4 linked regions of the Rattus norvegicus genome follow. The main gene of each other region encodes a partner of the protein of the gene in region 4 in a complex. Links are inferred from orthologs where the notes say so. Each region holds a gene or a part of one and is shown on either strand. Other genes may lie near its edges.

Region 1 (5,760 bases), on a different chromosome or scaffold from region 4:
ATCAGTTCCCAAGCCTCTACTATGACACAGATTTGTGTCCACTGCTTTTCTACAATGTGGATTTCAGTACAGATTATAAACAGAGGTACTGCTAACATGTCTAAAATTTATCTTTTGGTAAACTTAAAAAGATTATTGTAAGCTTCAAAGAATGCACTTTGGTCTACCTCTCATGGGTCAAATGGACTCTAGATAAGTACCCCTGTCAATCAACAGCCTAAGTTTCCTACCTATTGCCTGTTCCAAGGGGTGGGATTCCTTCCCCTTTCCCTAGTTTTAGGACTCAGGTTTCAAATCTACACTCAAGAATAAATTTTCTCGGGCTGGAGAAATGGCTCAGTGGTTAAAAGCACCAACTGCTCTTCCAGAGGTCCTGGGTTCAAATCCCAGCAACCACATGGTGGCTCACAACCATCTGTAATGAGATCTGATGCCCTCTTCTGGTGTGTCTGAAGACAGCTACAGTGTGTGTGTGTGTGTGTGTGTGTGTGTGTGTGTGTGTGTGTGTGTGTTTAATTCCAGATCCTGCAAAGTCCAGGTGTTTCCTCAAAATCTGCATCCAGGACAGCTCCAAAGCAGTTACCCACAGATGCTCCAGTCCAGCCTCACAGACTATTTCAACTAGACCTGCACTTTCCAAGTTGCAAATGGTCCCACAGATCCCAGACAACCATCAAACAGCTGAGCTCTACAACAACATGACCAGCATCCCAATTTTCTTAGGCTCCCCAAAGATGACATCACCCCTACCAGCAGGAAGTCTAAAGAACACAATACCCTAACTCCTGCTCTACCATCACCCCTCCCTAGTTCTTCATTTTTAATCAAACAAAAGGGAGGAATGTTAGCTTACAGGCAATTCTATTAGGCTCCTCCCAGAGACCTACCAACAGCTTACATCATCTTCTGAGGCCATCACCTGCTACAGCCACCACGCCACTCCACCGCATGTGTGTTCTCAGTGGCCTCTCTTTCCCGCCCCCCTCTTTATACCCTCATGGCTCACTCACTGCCTCTTCCTTTTCCCAAGTTCTCATTCCTCTCTCTTTCCCCCAATAAACCCCCTTTATTCCAGATGTATTGCATGCTGTAATTACTCAGGGGCACACCTTGCCATGGGAACCATGGTACCCCCTCACTACATTATATTTCCTAACTCCAAATCATTCAACAAAAGTACAACTTGGAAGGTAAGCAATGCAGGCCTTTAAAAGACTAACCAGGCTCTCCATAAACACAGTCCTCTCACAGAACAACATACGGAAGCCAGGCATGTTCTTCTTGAGCACTACTGCTGAACACCTTATCTCTATAAAGCCAGGCTTGGTGGTGCAATTCTGTAACCCCAGGATTCAAGAGGCTGAGGCAGGACTGCCACAAATTCCACACTAGTCTGGGCTACAAGACAAGTATAAGGTCAGCCTGGGCTACATAGCAATCAGTAGAAAGAAAGGGGGGCTGGAAAGATGGCTCCATGGCTGACAGTGCTTCCCTCTCTTCCAGAGAGCTGGAGTTCCATTCCCAGCAACATTAAAGGTGGTTCCCAACTTCTGTAACCCCAGTAAGTGCAAGCTGTAAAGGTGTGAGGATGTGAATGATAATGTAATTTGTAGGGGTCTAAGAAAGTAATTTAAAGTGTACATGGGTTGGGGATTTAGCTCAGCGGTAGAGTGCTTGTTTATCAAGCGCAAGGCCCTGGGTTCAGTCCTGAGCTCCAAAAAAAAAAAGTGAAAAAAAGTGTACAGATGCAAATTAAAAAGTTCCGAGGAGGGGGCTGGAGAGATGGCTCAGCAGTTAAGAGCACCCGACTGCTCTTCCAGAGGTCCTGAGTTCAATTCCCAGCAACCACATGGTGGCTCACAACCATCTGTAAAGAGATCCGATGCCCTCTTCTGGTGTGTCTGAAGACAGCTACAGTGTACTCACATGAATAAAATAAATCTTTAAAAAAAAAAAGTTCCTAGGATATGAACACTTAACTAAGTTGGAGAGTCTATTAAAGTGATTTAAAGTGTGTAGATGTAATCTGGAAAGATATGAGGAAGTGATTTAAGGCATGTGAAAAGTGAGAAACGTTTCAGATTTCTTTCCTGCTCACTATGCTATTGTTATATTAAGACTTCAAAACTTCAAAGTTGTAACATTAAACAATGGAGCTCTGATAAACTATTGATCTAGCCCTGATAGAGCACTGACTACTCTAATAATAGGCACAGGCTCAAAATTTTTACTTTCTTTTGGTCTTCTAAATATACATTTAAACGTGTTTCTCACTGTGCTGAAAATATCTCTGGCTTACAGACACTGCTTTTTCTACAATGGGGACTTCACTGCAGATTACAAATAGCAGTAATGCCAATTATCTACAACTTTTACCTTTTTGTGAACTTTGTAAAATTCACATAAGCTTTAAGAAATTGACACTCAGATCCACCTGTCACAGGTCAAACAGGCTCCAAATTAAGTATTCCCGATAATCAACAGTTTCAGTGTTCCTGCCTATTACTGCCTATCTCTTTTCTCTTTTTTTTCCGGAGCTGGGGACCGAACCCAGGGCCTTGCGCTTGCTAGGCAAGTGCTCTACCACTGAGCTAAATCCCCAACCCCTACTGCCTATCTCTTGAGAGTAGACTCTCTCCTTCCCTGTTCTTAGACTCCCTTCACCATCATACCCACCCAACTACCAGGACCGCAGGCCTGGAAGTTTTAGGTGTAAACCCTAGATGAAGATTTTCCCCTAAGCTCCTCATCTTTACATTCTGTTCTTAGTCTGTATCTGTTCCCACCGATTTCCAATCAAGGGAAGAATGTAAACTGCTCCAAACATGCCAGCCTCAGGTGGTCCTTTACAATCAGCAAGCCCTGAACTTTCTGAGAGCCGATATAAACTGTCTGACTTGAGCACTTGCTTTGGCCCAGCATTCCAGACTGCTCACAGCACCCTAACCTCCCTTACCTCCCAGCCTTAACCAGGCATCCCAGTGTCCCTGAGCCCTTAATTTCAGCTAAGAAGTAGCTACATTGCCCCTATCACAAACGAAAGGCTGGAATGTCAGGGCCAAATTGTGACAGTCGGATAAAAGCCCTCGCTCCTCAGGAAACCATTTCCTTATTACTGGCAGAAGAGACAAACGGCTACCTTTGGTACTTATTAGCATAACCAAGTGCATCCTGGCCTCCAGGCTCTGTTCCACATTTCAGAGTCCATGCTGGTGTCCTAGCTCTCCTCACCCACTTCTTACCCTAAACTTCTCCAGCTCAGAAGCCCTACCCACCCCATCCCACCCCACTACACTCACACAGTATACATTCACAGACAAATTTTTAAGGGAAAAAATAATAAAAGGAGAAGAGCCTCTGTATCCTCATGCTCCAAACAACTGACTACACAGAGACATGGGTTGCAGAGCCCTTACCTGTGTGAGGGCGGAACACTCCACATACTTGACAGCCTTCAGATCCCGCGCCAGCTTTTCAGCAGTCTCTGGAGTAATAGGCTTCTGTTTGTTCTTGGCAAGTTTCTCAATAGTAGAAGGGTCATCTCTGAGATCAATTTGGGTCCCGACAAGCAAGAAAGGAGTCTTTGGACAGTGGTGAGTTATCTCAGGCACCCACTAAAAACAAGGTTTTAAAATGCTGTTAATCTACAAGCCACTGACACTATAAAAGGGTAACAGAAATTCTGTGCAGGTTTGAAGGAGGCAGGACCTGACTTACCTTTTCTTTCACATTTTCAAATGAGGATGGAGAGACCACTGAGAAACATACTAGAAAAACATCTGTCTGTGGATAACTTAACGGTCGTAGTCTGTCATAATCCTCTTGCCCTAAAGAAAAAGTTAAAGAGGTCAGCAACTGAAATCTGGTATCCTTGTGGCATTAAAATTATAGTCAAGGCCTACAGCTATAGCTCTTTAGTACATAGAGTGATAACCTAGCATGCATACAGCCCTGGATTCAATCCCCATACCACATTAAAACCAGGCATGGTTGGCACAAGCCTATAATCTCAGCACTAGTGAGACGCAGGCAGGAAGGTTAAGTGTAACCATGAGATCATATATCAAAAAAAAAAAAAAAAAAAAAAAAAAAATTAAAGACGAGCATAGTGGAGCTAGCAAGATCACTCAGTGGTAAGGATGGTGGCTGCCATGCCTAACAACCTGAACTCAGTCTCCAGGGAACAGATGGTGAAAGGAAAAAAACCAACTCTCCCAAATTTAGCTTCTTGACCTCCACATATGTATACTATGGCATGTGCTTCCACATAAATAAATAAATGTAATTTAAAAGGAAAAAGAATATGGAGATATGGGCGATGCCCATAAACCCAGCACACAGGAAGGAGAGGCAGGAGATCACCACAAGTCTGAGGTCAGCCTGGTCCACAAAGACAGCTCTGAGACAGCCAAAACTACATAGTAAGGTTCTTGTTTCAAAGAAGAAGGGGGGAGGAAAACTACAGCTCTGACAACACTTCGAGTGTGTAGCTCTTAGCATATGAGCCATTAGTGACAAAGCTACGGCTTAGTAACATACTGTTTGGACAACACTTTCTGTGCTAATTCTATTTATATATACCAATAACTTACAAAGGAAAACTGACATATTTTCTTTTTACTTTTTTTAGTTCTATAACTCAGTAATAATATAACAACAATAAACTATTGCCACAGGTGTGGTTTAAAAATATCATACCTACTTCTGGCTACATAATGATCACAGCAAGCCCACTAATAAGTACTGTACTGAAGGCATCCATAATAATGCCCAAGCCAAGCGCAAGGCTTGGTCCACACGTGCATGTTAAAGCCACTCTGTAACTGGAATGGCCTAGAAAAAATGAACTTGGAAGAATGAAAGGTATGTAAGAAGAATAAAATACTTAGAAATTAACCAAAGATAAGAGTCACAAAATAAAAACAGCGAAAAACTGCTGAACATAACAAGCCCCAAGAAATGGAAAGACAGCCTATGCTCATATGCAGGACGACACTGGGTGAATGACTAAATATAAAAACAAATACATACATACATACACACACACACACACACACACACACACACACACACACACACACACACACACCACACAGGTCGGTAGGATGTCTTAAAGGGAAAAAAGAACTATGATCTGGATGAGAGAATAACTAGAAAGCAAAGAGTTAACCAAATCACAAACAAAGCCAATTTATTTAAAAAAAAAAAAAAAAAAGCGGAGATGGGCTGGAGAGATGGTTCAGTGGTTAAGAGCACTGACTGCTCTTCCAGGGGTCCTGAGTTCAATTCCCAGCAACCACATGGTGGCTCACAACCATCTGTAATAGAATCTGATGCCCTCTTCCTGATGTGTCTGAAGACAGTGACAGTGTATCCACATACATAAAAAATAAATAAAATCTTTAAAAAATAAATAAAAATTTAAAAAAAAACTTTTGAAGAATGATTTTTAAATGGGTATATGCAATTGGCCAGGAATAGTGGCACATGCCTTTAATGCCACTACTTGAGAAGTAGAAGCAAGTAGATCTGTGAGTTCAAGGCCAGCCTGATCCACATAAAGAGTTCCAAGATAGCAAGGCCACAGTGAGACCCTGGTGGGTTTTTTTGTTTTCTTTTGTTTAAGAGACTACAGAGAAAAATGAAGATGTTTACCCAGTGTTAAAAACAAATTGAAAATAATTTAAATAGCTGATAGAAAAGGCAGTGCTCTCAGCTAAATGTGCTTTATGTATAGTAAGGCATTCTCAACATCTACAT
Region 2 (6,515 bases), on a different chromosome or scaffold from region 4:
GAGAAATATTCTGGCTGACACCACACTATTTGTCTCTCAAAATATACTTTAACAACTTGATATTTTTCATTTATAAATTCTCCTCAAATGCAGCATGCATGATAAATACGAGCTATTGTCTCACATGTGTTACTGTAAATAAGTTAACATGTCTATTACTTCCAGAGGAAAATGAAAACCAAATTTAGACAGAAATGATACTGTCAGTCAAAAAACTCTGCATCAGTGGTATTTGTCTTATATTGATACTTCCCTTTGCTAATTGTTTCCAGTCTAAAAATCATCAAACTTGTTTACTACTTCTAGCACCGAATTTGTATTGTACTGAACTCAACTTTATGTACAGCTGTGTGCCAAATATACTCACTGCCACTAGATGTCAGCAGTGTTTTATGGTAAAAAAAAGTTTCATTTCATTTGGCTTCAAGTGTTGATTTTTTTTAAATGCATATGTGTGTTTGTCATACATACGTATATACTACATGTGTCTCGTGTCCTTGGAGGTCAGAAGAGGGCATCAGAGCCCTGGACTGTAGCTACACAATTGTGAGCTGCTGTGTGGGTGCTGGGAAGAGAACTCAGTCATGGCTGTTATGCACTAAGCAATCTCTCCAGCCCTTCAGCTGATGCATTTATTTTCCCAAGCTTAGCATCTTATATATCTGGACACAGCTAAAACTTAAGATTTGTATGTTTTAAAGTTATCTTGTTTTATGTGATTTGTTTATGAAACAAATCACACCTCAGACACCCACAGCATTAAATTATAACTCACTAGGCTCACACTGCAGAACTGTTGTGTGCTAACTTTGCCAAATGATGCAGTTATACAAGTTAATGCATAAATGTATTTGTCAGTGAGATGCCAGTGTAAATTTCAATCTCAAAGGTTCTCTATGAAATATTAAATTTTTTACGCCATATTGAGATCAGAATTTTTATTACCAAGTCTAGAAACTGGTACCAGAGTTTGTGGGCCAAGTATATAAACTGCATGTAGTTTCCTACTTTTCAAATTAAAATCTCATTCTTTGGAAGTATTTTAATAAATGGGACATGTACTCTAAAACTCTAGATTATTTCTCTCTTCTTCCGAAATGTTCCTGGCAGAAAAATAAAACAATGTGATTGTTTCCTTTTTATGATGAGCAGGGAACGGATTTCAAATCTAAGGAAACATTAAAGGAGAGCTCTACAAGACTAATTAGACACAAAAATAACTAAGTGACCAGAACAGTTTAACAACCACATATACCCCAGCATCCTAACATGACGGCTTAAGAGGCAACTTTCCATTGTTAAGATTACTAAAGCTGTGGCAGTTTACAGCAGTCAGGGGGAGGAGTGAGGCGCGTACGCACCACTCTGAAACAGACGAGATGGTAGCAGTGCCAGCCTTCAGTGCTGAGCAGCTCACAAACCCCCTTAAGAGTCTCTAGGAACGAATCTTTACTTAAACCATTAAAGAAACCCAAGTTCTAACGTGGCATGCAACTTTCAGGCACAAAAAACCAGCTTGCTTACCTCTCCCAGCTCTGCCAACAGCAACGTTGTATGTTGGCTCCCCACCTTGACTCTTTGTCCGGATGTCCATTGTGCAGTCCGAGTCAACGTATAGGCTATCTCTGATCACAGAGCACTTCTTTCCTCCAAGAGTCAAACCATTGGTAAAGAAACCTTCCCGGTCTTTTCCTATAATCACATCTATTTCTGCTGGCTGGCCACCCAAAACAAAGAAGAAAAAAATTACAGTTAATCAGAATTTGATACAACAAACTGTGTGCTGATGTAAATATCTTGATTGTTCTTGTTTTTATCATTACACGGTTACATGATTTACACATTAGTTTGCTTTTGCAGTGAGGTCTGCTAACTAAAAGCCAGAGTATAGCAACGGTACAAAGAGTCTCCCTAAACAGTTGGCAGTTGACACCGGCTACAAACTGAAATTGAGTTATTTATAAACTATATCAAGTCAGGTGCTACTTGAAGGTGCTTATGTAATTGTAAAGATTCAGCTATAAGCTCTTACAAAAGCTTGTCTGTCACATTCAGCCACATTAGTCATGTTGCATCAAAGTTAAAGTTGAGTGAAAGTCTACCCAGATAAACCTGCTCACTTCTCTGTTTCGAGCAGATTGAAATATCCCTGGCAGTGTGAGCCTCAAACACCACCTCCATCACTGTGGGGCATTTCCAAGTTCGTTTTTCCCTCCTATTTTTCTAGCCACTTTTTTCTCTCCAACTTGCCTTGCCCTTCCATTCAATAATCAGCTTTTCCTTCTGGACAAATGCAGTGTGGAGTCTGTCTACAGCACTGCAGTAACCAATAGTAAAATCAGAGAGAAAATGGAGGGGCATTGGTAAGGAAAGTGAGTTAGCCGGCAGAATAGAAAAGAGAATACGTTCATTCTAACATTCCATGAATAAGAAGGAAGGCGTCGCCCCCATCAGAACTGCAGAGTCATAGCAGGCCCCAGCCATTTCCAAGCATACTCCCGCAATCTTCTTAAGCCAGACAGCGGGAACTCACACACAAAGGCAAGACTGCAGAAAAAAAAAGTTAAATCACCAAATGTCAATTCGCTGTAGGAATTGTGATCTCTCACATGGGGACAGGAGATCTTAAAGCACTCCTATCATGGACTGAATCCACACTGATATATTAAACCATGTTAAGTAGTAAAATGCTGAGCACCTGTGATATGGGACTTGATTTTTCCTAGGTGATGGGAAGGGAGTGGGAGTGTGGAACTAAGAAATTAAGGGAATGGTCTTGTACTTGATACTGGTGCCAAAATTTTAAAGAAGAGCATTGCATAGAAACGAGCATAACAATAAGCAGTGCTGGAGGCTGATTGACGAATATACTCCAAACGTGTGGCAACCGAGTCAAATGCCATCAAGTCACATGAAGATGAGACAACGTGAAGCAGATATCGGTATTAGTTCTTTTACTACCATCACTAAAGAGGGAGTGACTTGAGAAGTGTCACCCCCCCCCAGCGACTCCCCAGATTTTTTTTTTAAATCACCCTTAAACCATCCCCTTTTTAGAGCTATGTTGCGTAACTGGGGATAACAGTATATCGATGAATCTCTATAGGTGGAGAAGAGAAATCAATGGCAGTTCGCCATCTTGGAGGAAAAAAAAAACTATAGAGCCACAGCTGAAGTAGATTCACGATTCCACCTACGTGGTCCGCGTACCTTTCTCTCCAGCCTAGGAGGCCTGGACACCCGCAAGCCTACGCAAAGTCACTCCATTAATTCCCGGGACCCGGCCACCGCCGCCACCCACATCCCGCGCACACTGCCGAGCCAGGGCCAGCCTGCTGCCTAGGACCTCCCGCCCACACCCGGGGACCTGCACTGCAGCCCGCCGGGCTCCCCGAACGCTGAGGGGCCTCCCGGGGTGACGTCCCCTCCTCCACCCTGGCAGCCGCAAGCCGGGGCGCCGCCGGGGCGAAGAGTCCGGCCGCCCCGCCCCCGCGCGGCCTCGGGCAGCATCCCCAGGCTCAGCGGCTGGCACGGGGGCCCCCCCGGCTGCATGCCCTTCCTCAGCCGGCGGTACCCTATCCTTCAGCCCCGGCCTCATCCCCTTCCTCGCGGGCGGGCGTCCCCTTCCTCAGGCCCGCCGCACACCTGCCGGCTCGGCGCCCCCGGGCCTCACCGTGATGCTCTGGAAGACGCCCCCGGCCGTGGCTGCCCAGACGTATTTGGCGTCGCAGTAGCCGACAATGGCGGCCTCCTGGCAGCAGCCATCGCACATCAGGTTATCCACGTAGCTCTGCCAACCGGCCATCTTCGAGCCCTTCGCACTGCAGCGGGGACGGCAGGAGCAGAGGCGCAGCAGCAGCGGCGGCGGCGGCGGCGGTGGAGGCGGGGCGGGGGCGGGGAGGAGGCGGCTCTGCGCAGGCACCGACCGCCCCTCTCCGGGGAACTGCGGCGGGCGGGGACAGGACCCGCAGCGGGGAGCGCCGGGCGGCCGCGGCCGCGGGGCTCAGGGGCCAGCGGCTGAGCGACGCTTGCAGCGGGGCTGGCGACGGCCGACTCACACCGCAGCTCCCTCGGCTCTCCGCGGCCAGCGGGACGTGTACGCGCGTGCGTGCGATCCTTCCGCAGCGCAGCCGGCGAGGGTCCCGGGGAGGGCGGGAGAGCTGAGGCGGGGGCGCGGAGGGATACCGCCGGGGACAATCACGGCCCACACGTGCGGCAGGCGAGCGGGAGCAGGGCTGGGGCGCGGCGGCGGAGGCTTCACCGCAGGCTATGAGGCGAGGCAGCTTGAGTGGGCGCCGTAGGGTGCCAGAGCTCTGGGTGCACGGCGGCCGCGGTGCTCACTCCTCAAGTGCCAGCCCTGGACGCGGTATTTATTGACAGCACCGGTGTCGGGTGGCAGGGTTGCCCTGGTGACGGGATGCAGACGAGGGTTTACTCTTTGTAGTGGGAGCGGCCAGTGCGGGTTGCCCACACTTGGGGAGGTGTCTCTTGAAAGACCTTGGCCAGCTGCGCCTCGCACGCTCCTGAAATCAGAGCAGTGGCAACGGAGCAGCGCAGCTCTTTGTTGCCTCCTTTGAGTACGAGGAACTCCAGGTTCAGTGGAGCTTTTGCCCTGAACGCAGTGCTGCTAATCACACATGGGGCTCAACGGTCCAGAAATTCTAACTAAAAAAAGCAAAGCAAAGCAAAACAAAAAAACCAGACCCTATGCGTACTTGGTAACTGGAAAAGTTACTGTGCGTTAAATACATCCACGAAATACAAAGAATAGTCGAGCTAGAAAAGATTCATTGAACTAGACCAGTGGTTCTCAAACTTCCTAATGCTGAGCGTGACCCCTTAACACAGTTACCTATGTTGTGCTAACCCCCCAACCATAAATTATTTTGTTGCTATTTCATAACTGTAAATTTGCTAGTTATGAATCATAATGTAAATATCTGATATGTGCCCCCAAAGGGTTTGAGGCCCACAGGTTGAGACCCACTGTACTAAATGGTGAAAATAATTCAGAATCTACATCCGAGGAAGACTTGTATATGACAGGGTGGGAAATGGTTTAAGAGTCTCCGAACATTCTCCTACATCTTTATTAACTTTATGTGCTGGGTCTAGACTCAGCATCAGATGTTCCCCAACGATGACCAGTTTGAGGTGACAAACCCGACCTGCTTATTAAGGGAAAGAAAGCTCCAGTAGATTGCAAACTATCATCAAGTTTAAAGTTGTGGAGCACACTGACAATTTTATAATAGCATCACTGAACTTTTATTTATTATTTATTTATTGGGCTTTAAAAAAAATAATGTCTTAGAGTTCTGATCGCTATGAAGAGACACTGTGACCACAGCAACTCTTATAAAAGAAAGCATTTAATTGGGGCCTGGCTTACAGTTCCAGAGGTTTAGTCCATTCTCATCATGCCTGGAAGTATGCAGTCTGGCATGATATGGAGAAATAGCTGAGAGTTCTATGTCTGGATCCCAAAGTAGCAGGAAGAGAGCATCACTGGTTTTGAATTGGACTTTGGAAACCTCAAAGCCCACCCACAGTACCACACTTCCTCCAACAAGGCCACACCTACTAATCCTTCCCAAGTAGTGTCACTCCCTGATGACTATCCATTCAAATATATGAGCCTTTGGGGGCCATTCTCATTCAAGCCACCTCGAGTAGGACCAACAACAGAGTAGTCAACTGTCAAGTAGAGATTATTTGTCCTCATGTTTGGAAGATAGAGAATTCTCCTTATAAAGGAATCCATCCACTTCTGCCATTGTGTCCTCACCTGATTTAATCTCCCTCACTCTTTCCTATTTCTTATTCTGCCTTTTTTGCCACAACCATTTTAATTCTTACTTCTTAACTTTTATTATCACCTTAAAAACTAAAGATGGGGGGAGAAATGGTTCAGAGGTTAGGACTGGATACTCCTCTACAGGTACCAGGTTCAATTATCAGCACCCACGTGGCAGCTCACAACTGTAACTCCAGTTCCAGGGGATCTGTGGCACCAAGCATGCAGGTAGTATACATATATATGCATGCAAGTAAGATACCAAGATACACAAAATAAATCTTTTTTAAGCAATTAAAGATGGGGCAGGGTGTGGTGTCACATATCTTTAATCCCAGCTCTAGAAAGGCAGGATCAGGAGGAACTCTTAAATTTGAGGTTATGTCTTAGGGTTTCTATTCCTGTACAAACATCATAACCAAGAAGCAAGTTGGGGAGGAAAAGGTTTATTCAGCTTACACTTCCACATTGCTGTTCATCACCAAAGGAAGTCAGGACTGGAACTCAAGCAGATCAGGAAGCAGGAGCTGATGCAGAGGCCATGGAGAGATGTTACTTACTGGCTTGCTTCCCCTGGCTTGCTCAGCTTTCTTATAGAACCCAAGACCACCAGCCCAGGGATGGCACCACCCACAATTGGCCCCCCTACCCTTGATCACTAATTGAGAAAATGCCCTACAGCTGGATCTCATGGAGGCATTTCTTTAAGGGAGTCTCT
Region 3 (4,850 bases), on a different chromosome or scaffold from region 4:
ACTTGCATTGAGGTCAGACAGTTCACAGAGTGGGAACCATCTGGTACGCCATCCCGCGTTCCCGTGGCACCACCCTGAACCCTAAAAATCACCTGGCCGAGTCCTCACCTGGAGGTGCACACTAGCAGGAGTAAGTCCGGACCGAAACACCGTCTGCTCGTGAACTCCCAGAAGTCTGGCCTAGAGAGAGCAACGGCGCTTCAATCTGGAACTACCCTAGTGTACCCTAGGAAACACCCACTCCCCCCTAATACTGGAGATTGAAGGCGGGACCACGGAATTGCCAGTCAAAAGCCCTCCGCTGAACCACACCCCCAGCTCCTCAAAGTGGAATTCTAGGCGGTTCCTTCACCAGTGAGCTACTTGTTCAGCTCTCTTTTTACTTTTTGAAACAATCTTACTAAGCAGCCGGACTGTCTTGACTGCCTGTAGCCCAGGCAGGTAGGCTAGACCAGATGGAGGTTGTCTTAACACATGAATAGGGTCTGGACTGTCACTTTTAAGAGTCCCCTACCTTCAGGCTGCAGTTTGCGGAGTGGGAGTCCCGGTGAGCCTAGGGCTCCTGCTGCAGCTGAACGAAAGTTGGGGGGTAACATCTCGGCTGAATCGGGGGTTACACCCCGGAGGTCCTTCTCACGGAACATCTTCCTCCAGGATGGGGAGCGGCTGAAGGACTTGGCACTGTCCTAATTGTTTGATAGGAACCCAAGGTGAGGGAGGAGGGCACAAGTTCTGACTCTACCCCTCTGCATTAATAGTGACCCTCACTAAGCTCAACATCCAGCCACATTTGGTTGGCAACACCAAGCCCCACCCCTTCATCTCGGATTTGTAAGTGCAATTGGAAACAAGACCTCATTGCCACGCCCACCTCATCCAGCCGTCTGTCTGTTCCTAGGGAGATGAGGTTACTGAATTCTTTCTCCAGCAGTTGCCGAGCCTGGAAAGAAAAGGGGGAAGAGGTTAGTTGGAGCATACAGGTGGGGATACCCGGCATGTTTGCTGACCAGCCAAATCTCACTTGTGCATTCTGTGTAGGTATTTGTAGAAGCAAGGCCAGGTCGGAGTAGTCGAAGGTTTCATCCAGAGCCAACAGGGCTCCGTGCACCCCACTCTCGGTGAGATTCGTAGCAAACTCCTTCAGGCCAAGACCAGACACCCAACCCATGACCCGTTCGTTGGACCACACCATCACATCTGGGGAAGAAAGGGACTCTTAACTGTGCACCTCCCAGTGGCCAGCCCTGCCAAATTAACCTAACTTATTTCCTTTCCTAGCTAGGTCTCTATGCCGCTGCATCCGTCATCTATGAAACTGGACAGCTAGGCCCGTACTCCCATTACCCTCCCTAGCCACGCCCCACACTGGTTCTACTCATTATTTCTGGGAACAGCGCCTCCTAGAGAACAGGTTCATAGTCTCTCTTGGCCCAGCCCCTATTTCCGGCTCCACCCCTTGTGTGATAGCGCGCCCCAGTGGCCATGTCCAGCCACACATAACTCCACACTCATTTTATTGTCTGGCCACGCCCCCATAGTGGTTCCCCGGTTTCTAGTAGCTCTTGGTTTCTCTGGCTTTCCGCCGTTCAGTCTGCCCCTCCACATATCTCCCACAGGACCTCACCTCTGATTTGGGTCTGGCTTTCTTCCCTCCTTCGCTCCAGATCCTTCCGGTCATAGTTGAGCCGTTTCAAGCACATGATACCATAGTGCAGACTAACCCTGAGCAGTTGGAGAAACTGAGTCACCTAGAAGCCTTCCCGAGGCCACTGTTGTTGCCCTTACAGAACTAACTCTCTCCCTCCCTCCCTTCTCCCCCTCCCTCCCTTCCTCTGTCCCGTGTGTGTGTGTGTGTGTGTGTGTGTGTGTGTGTGTGAGCGTGCATGCGTGCGTGCACATGTGTGACCTATACTAGGCAGAAGCACGAAGTCCCAGTGCCGTACTGGTTACTTGTGTTCTCTTGCTTGTGTTTCTCTCTCTGTCTCCCTTTCTCTCTCCAAGATCTTTTAACACTTCCTGGGCTTGAACTCACTCTGTAGCCAGGCTAACATCAAACTTGTAGTCCTCCAGCCTCCCCAGTAGCAGGTCACCAGTTATCAATTTTTCTATGGACCATCATCTTTGGTTCAAGGAACACCAAGCGAAAATTTAATGGAACTTCCCATTAGCCAAAGTTTCTCTAAAGGGCTATGACTTCTTCCCCTTGGGCTGTTCCCATTGGCCAGGCAGCCCCCACCTGTGGAAGCTGTCCACCATCTTGAGTTGGCCTCGCAGTTCTTTCTTGTTCAGATGGTCCAACATCCGAGCATCAACTAGCGACTCCATGAAGTAGCTTCGGTACTGGGGCAGCCCAAGGCTGGGCAGCCAGTCGTTGCCCACCCACTCGTGGTTCATGTCGCCATATGCCAGGATCTGGGGCCATGGGCAGGTGAGGGAGGGGGTCAGACCTTCTTGTCCCTTCCCATATGCATAGGGAAAGGATAAAGTCCAGCCACCCCCCATCCCAAACTAGTTCTCTTCCCACCACAGAACAGTTTGGCTCTACAACTGGGACCACTGGACCAGCTGAGGGTCTCATGTAGCCCAGGCTAGCTTCAAACTTTTGGTGAAGCTGAGGATGACACTAGAGTCCCCTACCTCCACCCTTTTGAGTGCTGGGTTACAGATGTGTACCCCATACTCCAGCTTGGTGCTGGAACTCACTAGGCAAGGGCTCCATCAACTGGCCCCCAGCCCTGCAGGTCTGCATCCATTCAGCCCAAACATGACTAGACCCGGAAAGTCAGGACTTCAGCGTGGCTCTCCTGCCACCCACAGACATCACTGTTGCAATACCCGGAAAATACTAGTTCAAGCAATTCAGTTTAGGATAAGGCTATGAGACAAGCCCAAAGTCTTTTGCAGCTTTAGGGCAAGGAAACAGATCAGAGTTCAACCGGGTGTCTCCACCCCTGGCAAGTTCCAGCTGGGCACCTTGTGTCTCTCTTCTCCAGGCCACGATGTACTGTGTTCTCCCCGCCTCTCACTTGCTTGGCCCACCTCAAGGCCACCATAACTAGCACAGCTAACCCTTGTGCAGAGCTCCTGAACAGTGAGGGCAGCCCTCTTCCCCATCCCCTCAATGCAAACCCCTCCCATACCGGGCAGTTCCTTCCAGCTGCAGCAATCCCACAAACCCCAGCTTCCGAGCAACCCACAACCATGGAATAGCCAGGCTGGAGGCAGACACTGAGGGGCCCACTTTGTCCCCCATCGAGCCACTATGAACACAAGAACTATGAACAGCTGAGCTCCACGCTGCAGCCTTCCCCTCAGGGCAGGGACTTAGAATGTTCAGACGAGGGGTGGGGCGCAGAGAAACAGAAAGACCATGCAGCGTGCACAACCTGCTCATGCGTCCAACCCGCCCTGCACCCCTACCTGCTCCCAGCTGATCTCCTTGGTCTCCTGACCCGTTAGTGGGAAGAGGGGGAGAGAAGGGGTGGGTTAAGGGGACAGGCAGAGGAGAACAGAAGGGACAGACGATGCACTAACAGACAGACTCCTCCCAGCCCCCACACCCAGTAGGAATAGTGCCACCCCCAGGGCTACCAGCAGGAGGCACTCACGGGTTTTGTAGCTGCAGTCAGAGACTCCATCTCCTCGTGTGTCATCCACACGTTTCCTGTGGGCTGAAGGGCGCAGGGTGTTAAGGAATGGGTGATGACACAGAATACAGATGGTCTCCTAATCGCCCCACTCTAGCTCATCGGCTTATGCTCATTCTGTTTGGGGTTCCAGAGGAAACCCTTTGAAACCATCCAGCAAGATGACTCAGCAGGTAAAGGTGCTTGCCCCTAAGCCTAATGACCCGAGTTCTATCCTTCATGGTGAAAGTAGACTGCTAGTCTTCACTCATGCTCTGTGCTGGACACCAACACACACACACACACACACACACACACACACACACACACACACAGAGAGAGAGAGAGAGAGAGAGAGAGAGATGAGAGAGAGATCATTTATTTCATAAATATATAAATGTATAAATATAAATGTATTCATAAAAGTTAAATTTAAAGATTTCAGGGATGGAGAGAAGACTCAGTAGTTAAGAACATGTGTGGCACAAGCCTTTAATCCCAGCACTTGGGAGGCAGAGGCAGGAGGGTCAGCCTGGTCTATACAGTGGGTTCCAGAACAGCCTGGTCTACTCAGAGAAATTGTCTCAGGGAAACCAGGCACTCTCCCATTCACTCATGCAGGTAAAACATCCATACACATAATAAATCTAAAAAGGAGTTTGGGGTTTTTTTTGGGGGGGGGCTGGGCCTTTGATGTCACCTCCCTGGTGTCATACACAGTGAGGACTGAGAAGGTGACAGCAGACATGGCAAAGGGAGAGGTATACCAGCAGGAAGAGGTTTGCCACTTGTGCTGGGCAAACCTGGGAGCCTGGCATGGTGGAGCAGGCCTGTAATCCCAGCACTGGGGAGGCAGAGGCAGGACTGCACAAGCAAGTCAGTCAGAGCTACACAGGGAGAGTGTCTCGAAGTAAAGAGACTGTGGATTCACTGGGCATTGGCATTGCCTAGAGTTCTCCAGGAGCTAAGGGTCTGCATTCACAAGGCTTAGGGGGAATCCCTAGGACACACACAATGACAATGACATTGTGACCCCCCCATTCTTGTGGTCTGTGGTAAGAGCTCACAATAGGTTCCAGGCCAGCCTGGGTGAACCTCAAAGTCAGACCTTATATCAATAACATTTTGGAACATTTGCCTATGGATAGACTAGCAGATGAAATTAACAATAACCGTAACACTTGTGTGACCTAAGGTTGTGGAGACTCAAAGGAGGAAAAGAGA
Region 4 (5,760 bases):
GAGAAGGGCAGAACAGCAAGATTGTTAACAAGCAAGACCCTAACATCAAAGTTAAAAGAAAAGAGAATGAGATATCATTTTCAGTTTTCCTACTTTAATAGCTAACAACCAAGCCACCTAACCTAAGACATGAAAGACCTTTAACCACATCCTAGCTAGTTTTATGTCAACTTGATATGCTAGATCATCAGAGAGGAGGGAGCCTCAACTGAGAAAATGCCTCCGTAAGATTCAGCTATAAGGCATTTTTTTTTTTTTTTTTTTTTTTTTCCGGAGCTGGACCAAACCCAGGGCCTTGCGCTTCCTAGGCAAGCGCTCTACCACTGAGCTAAATCCCCAACCCCCATAAGGCATTTTCTTAATTAGTGATCAATGTAGGAGGGGCCAGCCCATTGTGGGTGGGGGCCATCCCTGTAGTCCTGGGTTCTATAAGAAAGCAGGCTGAGTAAACCATGGGGAGCAAGCCAGTAAGGAGCACCCCTCTACAGTCTCTGCATTAGTTCTTGCCCTGCATGAGTTCTTGCCCTCACTGCTTTAGATAATGAACATTTATATGGAAATGTGAAAGAAATAAACCCTTTCCTCCCTCAAAAATCTTTTTGTCACAGCAATAATAACCCTAACTAACATAAACCAGGACAGCTACAGTGCACAATTCCAACCACAAAAGGAATCCTTAAGTACTACAGAGATGATAAAAGGAACTGAGTCGTACTCCAGTTCCTATAGTCCTAGGAGTAACTTGAGATGCACACTTACATAGAATACCATCTGTCTTTGCTGTCTTGTCTGGTGGCCCAAACACTACACAAGACCACCTCTAGCTTCTCATTTCACACCAATACCCCCTTTTCCACTAACAAAAAGACTTTCCTCTAGGAACCTTAGGATTCTGGATGCTTTTAAAATACCATAGACAATACTGTCTCAAATATCAAAAAAAAAAACAAAAAAACTTAATTATCTTCAAAGAAAAAAGATATATCCCAAATTTATTTGTGTGTGTGTGTGTGTGTGTGTTACATATACACATATTTGTGGATGATGCTAGAGAATGAACCCAAGTTTCACACATAAGGTAACTCTAGTCCTATGCCTTCATACACACCTTTTTTTCCAGCTCTGTAGCTTTGGCCTCAGATTTTTCCACCTTCGTTTTATCAATCATTTGATCTGAAAAGAAAAAGCAATTTGATCTGAAAACAATGCAGTAAGTCAAGTCTCAGTGCCGAAGTTGATGTCTCTGCTCCTAAGCCTCAAACACACTCAAGGGCACTCTTCTGTCACTTGGGTTGCTGACGCCACTCCTAATGGTTTGCACTAGCACTAGACCAAGAAATGTGAGTTTCAGTTAAGTACAATTTACAATTTCCTCTAAGTTTTATTTATATAGTTGTTTCATATTTTGTGTGTATTTAGTGTCTATGTATGTATATGTCACATGTGTGCAAGTCAGATGACAACTATCAAAAGTGGTTCTTCCTTGCCACCATACAGAATCTGGGGCACAAACTCAGGTCCTCAGGCCCACATGCAGGCACATCTACTTATTGCCACCATGCTGGCCCTTAGCCTAGTATTTCAAAGTGCAAGGTAAAGAAATCACACGAAGGATGCCTTTGTGTGACATTTGTGCTTCTAAGACCAGCAGAGTCAGAAAATACCTGAAGTCCCTGTAAAAAAAAAAAAAAAAAAAAAAAAAAAAGGCAAGATTTTCACTGTGCTGAAATAAACTTAGGATGAAACAATGCCAGCAAAGAGGGTGTACTGAGAAAGAACTGAAATAGAGACTAGAAGGATTTCTCTGAAAGTTTCACTGAACGATGAAAACAAAAGGTCCAAGTGCTGAGTGTTCTGAGGAGCTGGGTAGAAAAGCACGCTTACCAACCAACCCCTCAATATCAATCTGCAGGTGCCGGCACTTGAAGTCAGGATCAGTTCCATTTTTGTGTAGAACTATCTGAGAAACACATTCTTCAATCAATTTATAGTACTGCGGCCTATGAAAGAAACAAAACAAATTTATCAAACAGAAATAAAAAATGTATCTTCCAGAAGTATTCTGGATCAAGAAGAGTTAGTGGCTTTGACAATAAAAAGAATTATGGAAGGGGTTGGGGATTTAGCTCAGTGGTAGAGCGCTTGCCTAGCAAGCGCAAAGCCCTGGGTTCGGTCCTCAGCTCCGGAAAAAAGAAAAAAAGAATTATGGATAAACACTCCAGGAAGAGCTTTGATGAAGCTAACTGAAGCCTTACTGCTGTGTTAGCAAATTCTCCTCTCTAGATCAGCTTTCATTCTCTCCTTCAGATACCCAAAAGCTCTTACAGGTTGGGGGCTGCAGTTCAGTGGTAAAACATGTACTGAGCATGTGGAACATGCTGAGTTCAACCTCAAGCACATAAATGCTAACATGCATGTGCATACACACATGCACTCACTTAATTTCTTTTTCTTTGCGTGTATCTGTGTACATGTATAAAAGTGCCATGGAGGTCACAAGTGTCACACAGAATTACAGGAGGTTTGTGTGGCTAATGTGAGGGCTGGGAACTGGTGGGTCCTGTGCAAGAGCAGCATGCATGCTTAGTTAACCACTGAGCCGTCTCTCCATCCGCCAGTACACAGCTTCCCAACACCCAGGCTGGACTCCAGCCTTATGATCCTTGTCATGCAACGGCCGATCTCTACTTCCAAGAAAGCAGAAACAACTTTAAGTTTCCATCTCTTTGTTGTCATCCTCAGCCCACTTACCCACTTCCTCCTAAGGACATTTTACTTTATACACAATTACCTATCCAAAGAGGTACCTTTCAACTGAATTAAAGCAGTTGGTATGTTAATCAAGCTGTTGATAATTTCCTTTATATCTGTGACTAATGAATCTAATCTACAGTCTTTTTTCATTTCTTTTTACCTTTCTAGAACAATCTTTGAATTTAAGGATGCTGCTTTTCCACTTAGATGCAACATTATCAGCTTACCTAGCTTCATAATCATTTCGGACCAACAGGAGATGCTGCAAGATAGACAGGAAGTGTGGTTCTGCCTTGGAATCTTTCACTGTGTTTAAAATAATCTGGAAAACTTCACCAAAGTCAGTAGAAAAAAGGACAGGCTAAGGAAATCAAGTAATTAGAAGATGTTTGACAGGTTTCTTGTCAACCAACAGAGGGTATCAAGATACCACTTCTACTACAACAGCTGTTCCTAAAACATCACTAGTTCATTCAACCAAGAGTGGCATTGTCCACAAACACAGGATCCTAGTATACATACTGAAGAAACTAAAAATAGAACCACATCAAAGTCACTTGTGGCAGGTAGGCAACTGTGTAATAGTATTATTGCTTGTCAGTCCAGAGGGCTCTGCATACCACCCCACAGCTCAGGAAGATATCGTGCTGTAGGAGGTGTACAGAGATTTGGATGGACACTTTGGGACGTGAGAGCAATATGGCTAAACATGTTACGTTAGCACTTGAGTGACAGGCTGATGGATGCCTTGATGTTAAAGAAATCACCTTTCCTAGCTTTCCTGGTCTATGCTGAAGTAAATAAAGCCAACAGCAATATGTAGACATAGCTTTATGTATTATATATATATATATATATATATATATATATATATATACACACATATATATATACACACATATATATATATATATATATATATATTTTTTTTTTTTTTTTTTTTTTTTTTTTTTTTTTTTTTTTTTGAGACAGACTCTCACTGTGTAGGCTTAGCTGGCCTGGCCTGGAGTTCACTATGCAGACCAGGCTGGCTTCAAACTCAAAAGAGATCCTAAGTGCTAGGAGACGAATTCAAGTCATGTGCCACCATTCCCAGTCTTAGGCCTTATTCTAAGTGATCACTCTCCAGACTATTCCATACATTCAGTCTGTAAGTAAATGTATCATCTGTCCTGAACTCAGTCATCAGTCATAAAAGGATATTCCATCTCCATGCGGATATCATCCAGTCGTCCCTTCAGATCGAAGAAATCTTCATCCCCTTGTTCATCAAACACATTGAGCTGTACTCGCATATCATCATTGTCAATCTCTCGAAGCTCCTGCCAATGACAGCAAGTAGTGAGAGAACCCAAATCCAAGCCTTTCAACCTGGTGTTTAAGTTGAAAACCAGAATCATCTCAGAGATGACCAGGGCTGGAAGAGCAGGAGGGAAGTGCAGCCTTCCTAAGGAAAGGTTCCATCTTACCTGCAACACTTGATGCAGTCCCAAGCGCATCAGCTCACTTCGGATGTGAACCCGGAAGTCAAGTTCCTCAGCGGGAGTGATGAGAGCATTGATCAGCTGTAGGCATCCCACCTGAAACAAGCAAATTCAGCTGCTACGTCAGCCGTCAACCTTATGGATAAGGAGTCCCCTATTTATATACACTCTGGAGCTCCATAAAAGATACAGAATAAAAACTACAGAGAGGAAGTTCATACTAGAGCAACAAAACCTCGCTGAACACAACTCTGGAGAATTTAGGCTTTTAAATGAATCCAAGGACATAACATGTTACTACAGAACCTCCATTTTCCTAAGGTACTAATAAGTAGCTGGTTTATCCCACCAACATCACAAGGAGAAAGGTAGTTCTCTGTTTTTTAGAGAAAAAAATCATTTTCCTTTAGGAAAAACACCTAAAATATAAAAAGTATAGCTGAGAACATTACATATTTTAATAAAGACTTAAAATTTGTATTATTTTCAACTTTATGTGCATTAGTGTGTGAGTGTGTGTGTCTGTGTCTGTGTGTGTGTATGCACACATGCATGCCAGTGCTCAAAGAGGCCAGAGGTATCAAATACCCCTGGAGCTGAGCTACAGGCAGCTGTGAGCTGTCTGACATGGGTGCTGGAAACTCAACTTGAAGAGGAGTATATGCTCTTAACTGATGAGCCAACTCTCCAGCCTCCATATATTCTATTACAAAGCCAAATGACACTAACCTGGTGGTGTAGACCTGTGTGCCTTGGAAGGGAGGAAGATCTCCAAGACTAGCCTGGGCAATTGGGAGGTTAGGACAAGAGGATCAGATATGTCTAGCCTGGACTATATAATGAGTTTGAGGCCAGTCCAGGCTATAAAACAAAATTAAAATATCCTGAAATAAAAAATTAAAAAGGGTTCTCCAGTGCCTTGCTCAGTGGTAGTTCAGTAATAGGGGAGTTACCCAGCTTAAGCAAAGCCCTAGGTTCAATTTCCCATACCATAGAAAAATGAAGGGTAAATGAACTCTGGTCTTTCCATTTTGAATTCTACTCTATTCTACTGTTGGAGAGGTTTTAGGGTACATACGTACTTTGAGTGCAATAGACGTCCCACTTTTTAACCCATCCAGCAGTGGCTGGAAGCGTTCAACCTCTTCCATTTCAGCTCTCTCTGTCATAGCCTCTAAAACTCGTTCATTCCTGCCAAGAAAACAGAAAGAACTGGCTAGGTGCACTAACACAGGCATGGGGAAATGTGACAGGGAACAAACCAATTAGGAAACAAGACACCACCAGTGCCTCAGATTTCTCAAATTAGTTTCTTAACCCCAACTGATACCAGAAACTGATAAATGCAACTGACTCTCTTTGGAGAGAATAATTTCCTAAACTCCATCCCTAGACTTCTACTCACGAATACAAAATTAAAGTCTTTGAGCTGTGAAATACAAGTTATCTGACTTGCGGTTGGGGATTTAGCTCAGTGGTAGAGCGCTTGCCTAGCAAGCACAAGGCCCTGGGTTCGGTCCTC

The links.
Region 1: the proteins of Diaph1 (region 4) and Cdc42 are in contact, whole or in part, in a crystal structure (PDB 3EG5), measured with the Mus musculus proteins. The link is inferred for Rattus norvegicus from reciprocal best matches to the Homo sapiens genes DIAPH1 and CDC42. Residues at the interface, in NP_031884.1 of Mus musculus: Met90, Asp93, Met94, Asn95, Leu96, Lys100, Pro103, Leu104, Lys107, Ile111, Met115, Gln118, Tyr119, Thr122, Ser133, Tyr139, Ser158, Arg160, Val161, Ser162, Leu163, Pro167, Val168, Val171, Arg210, Lys213, Ala214, Asn217, Asn218; in NP_033991.1 of Mus musculus: Val36, Phe37, Gln61, Glu62, Asp63, Tyr64, Asp65, Arg66, Leu67, Pro69, Leu70, Pro73, Glu95, Lys96, Pro99, Glu100, His103, His104.
Region 2: the proteins of Diaph1 (region 4) and Pfn2 are in contact, whole or in part, in a crystal structure (PDB 2V8F), measured with the Mus musculus proteins. The link is inferred for Rattus norvegicus from reciprocal best matches to the Homo sapiens genes DIAPH1 and PFN2. Residues at the interface, in NP_031884.1 of Mus musculus: Ile635, Pro636, Pro637, Pro638, Pro639, Pro640, Leu641; in NP_062283.1 of Mus musculus: Ala2, Gly3, Trp4, Ser6, Tyr7, Asn10, Ala28, Tyr30, Trp32, Arg108, Met131, Tyr134, Leu135, Ser138, Phe140.
Region 3: the proteins of Diaph1 (region 4) and Ppfia3 are in contact, whole or in part, in a crystal structure (PDB 4UWX), measured with the Mus musculus proteins. The link is inferred for Rattus norvegicus from reciprocal best matches to the Homo sapiens genes DIAPH1 and PPFIA3. Residues at the interface, in NP_031884.1 of Mus musculus: Lys252, Ser255, Ala256, Ile259, Gln307, Asn310, Ala311, Thr314, Pro315, Ala316, Glu317, Arg322, Gln352, Cys354, Val355, Glu358, Gln359, Glu362; in NP_084017.2 of Mus musculus: Pro719, Arg720, Arg723, Leu724, Arg726, Met727, Ala728, Ala730, Leu731.

The regions. Positions count from the first base shown.
Region 1 is NC_086023.1:154,847,523-154,853,282, forward strand, and holds part of Cdc42 (cell division control protein 42 homolog), read right to left. Parts: intron 3,828-5,760; coding exon 3,718-3,827; intron 3,615-3,717; coding exon 3,417-3,614; intron 1-3,416. UniProt on the Homo sapiens protein: Plasma membrane-associated small GTPase which cycles between an active GTP-bound and an inactive GDP-bound state. In active state binds to a variety of effector proteins to regulate cellular responses. Involved in epithelial cell polarization processes.
Region 2 is NC_086020.1:144,219,002-144,225,516, forward strand, and holds the start of Pfn2 (profilin-2), read right to left. Parts: upstream 3,936-6,515; 5' UTR 3,806-3,935; coding exon 3,674-3,805; intron 1,718-3,673; coding exon 1,525-1,717; intron 1-1,524. UniProt on the Homo sapiens protein: Binds to actin and affects the structure of the cytoskeleton. At high concentrations, profilin prevents the polymerization of actin, whereas it enhances it at low concentrations. By binding to PIP2, it inhibits the formation of IP3 and DG.
Region 3 is NC_086019.1:104,954,554-104,959,403, forward strand, and holds part of Ppfia3 (liprin-alpha-3), read right to left. Parts: intron 3,672-4,850; coding exon 3,609-3,671; intron 3,448-3,608; coding exon 3,421-3,447; intron 2,413-3,420; coding exon 2,237-2,412; intron 1,723-2,236; coding exon 1,625-1,722; intron 1,198-1,624; coding exon 1,022-1,197; intron 941-1,021; coding exon 872-940; intron 687-871; coding exon 515-686; intron 181-514; coding exon 122-180; 3' UTR 109-121; intron 1-108. UniProt on the Homo sapiens protein: May regulate the disassembly of focal adhesions. May localize receptor-like tyrosine phosphatases type 2A at specific sites on the plasma membrane, possibly regulating their interaction with the extracellular environment and their association with substrates.
Region 4 is NC_086036.1:29,977,694-29,983,453, forward strand, and holds part of Diaph1 (protein diaphanous homolog 1), read right to left. Parts: intron 5,430-5,760; coding exon 5,321-5,429; intron 4,335-5,320; coding exon 4,224-4,334; intron 4,077-4,223; coding exon 3,958-4,076; intron 3,099-3,957; coding exon 2,982-3,098; exon of another isoform or gene 2,923-2,981; intron 2,001-2,922; coding exon 1,885-2,000; intron 1,174-1,884; coding exon 1,109-1,173; intron 1-1,108. UniProt on the Homo sapiens protein: Actin nucleation and elongation factor required for the assembly of F-actin structures, such as actin cables and stress fibers. Binds to the barbed end of the actin filament and slows down actin polymerization and depolymerization.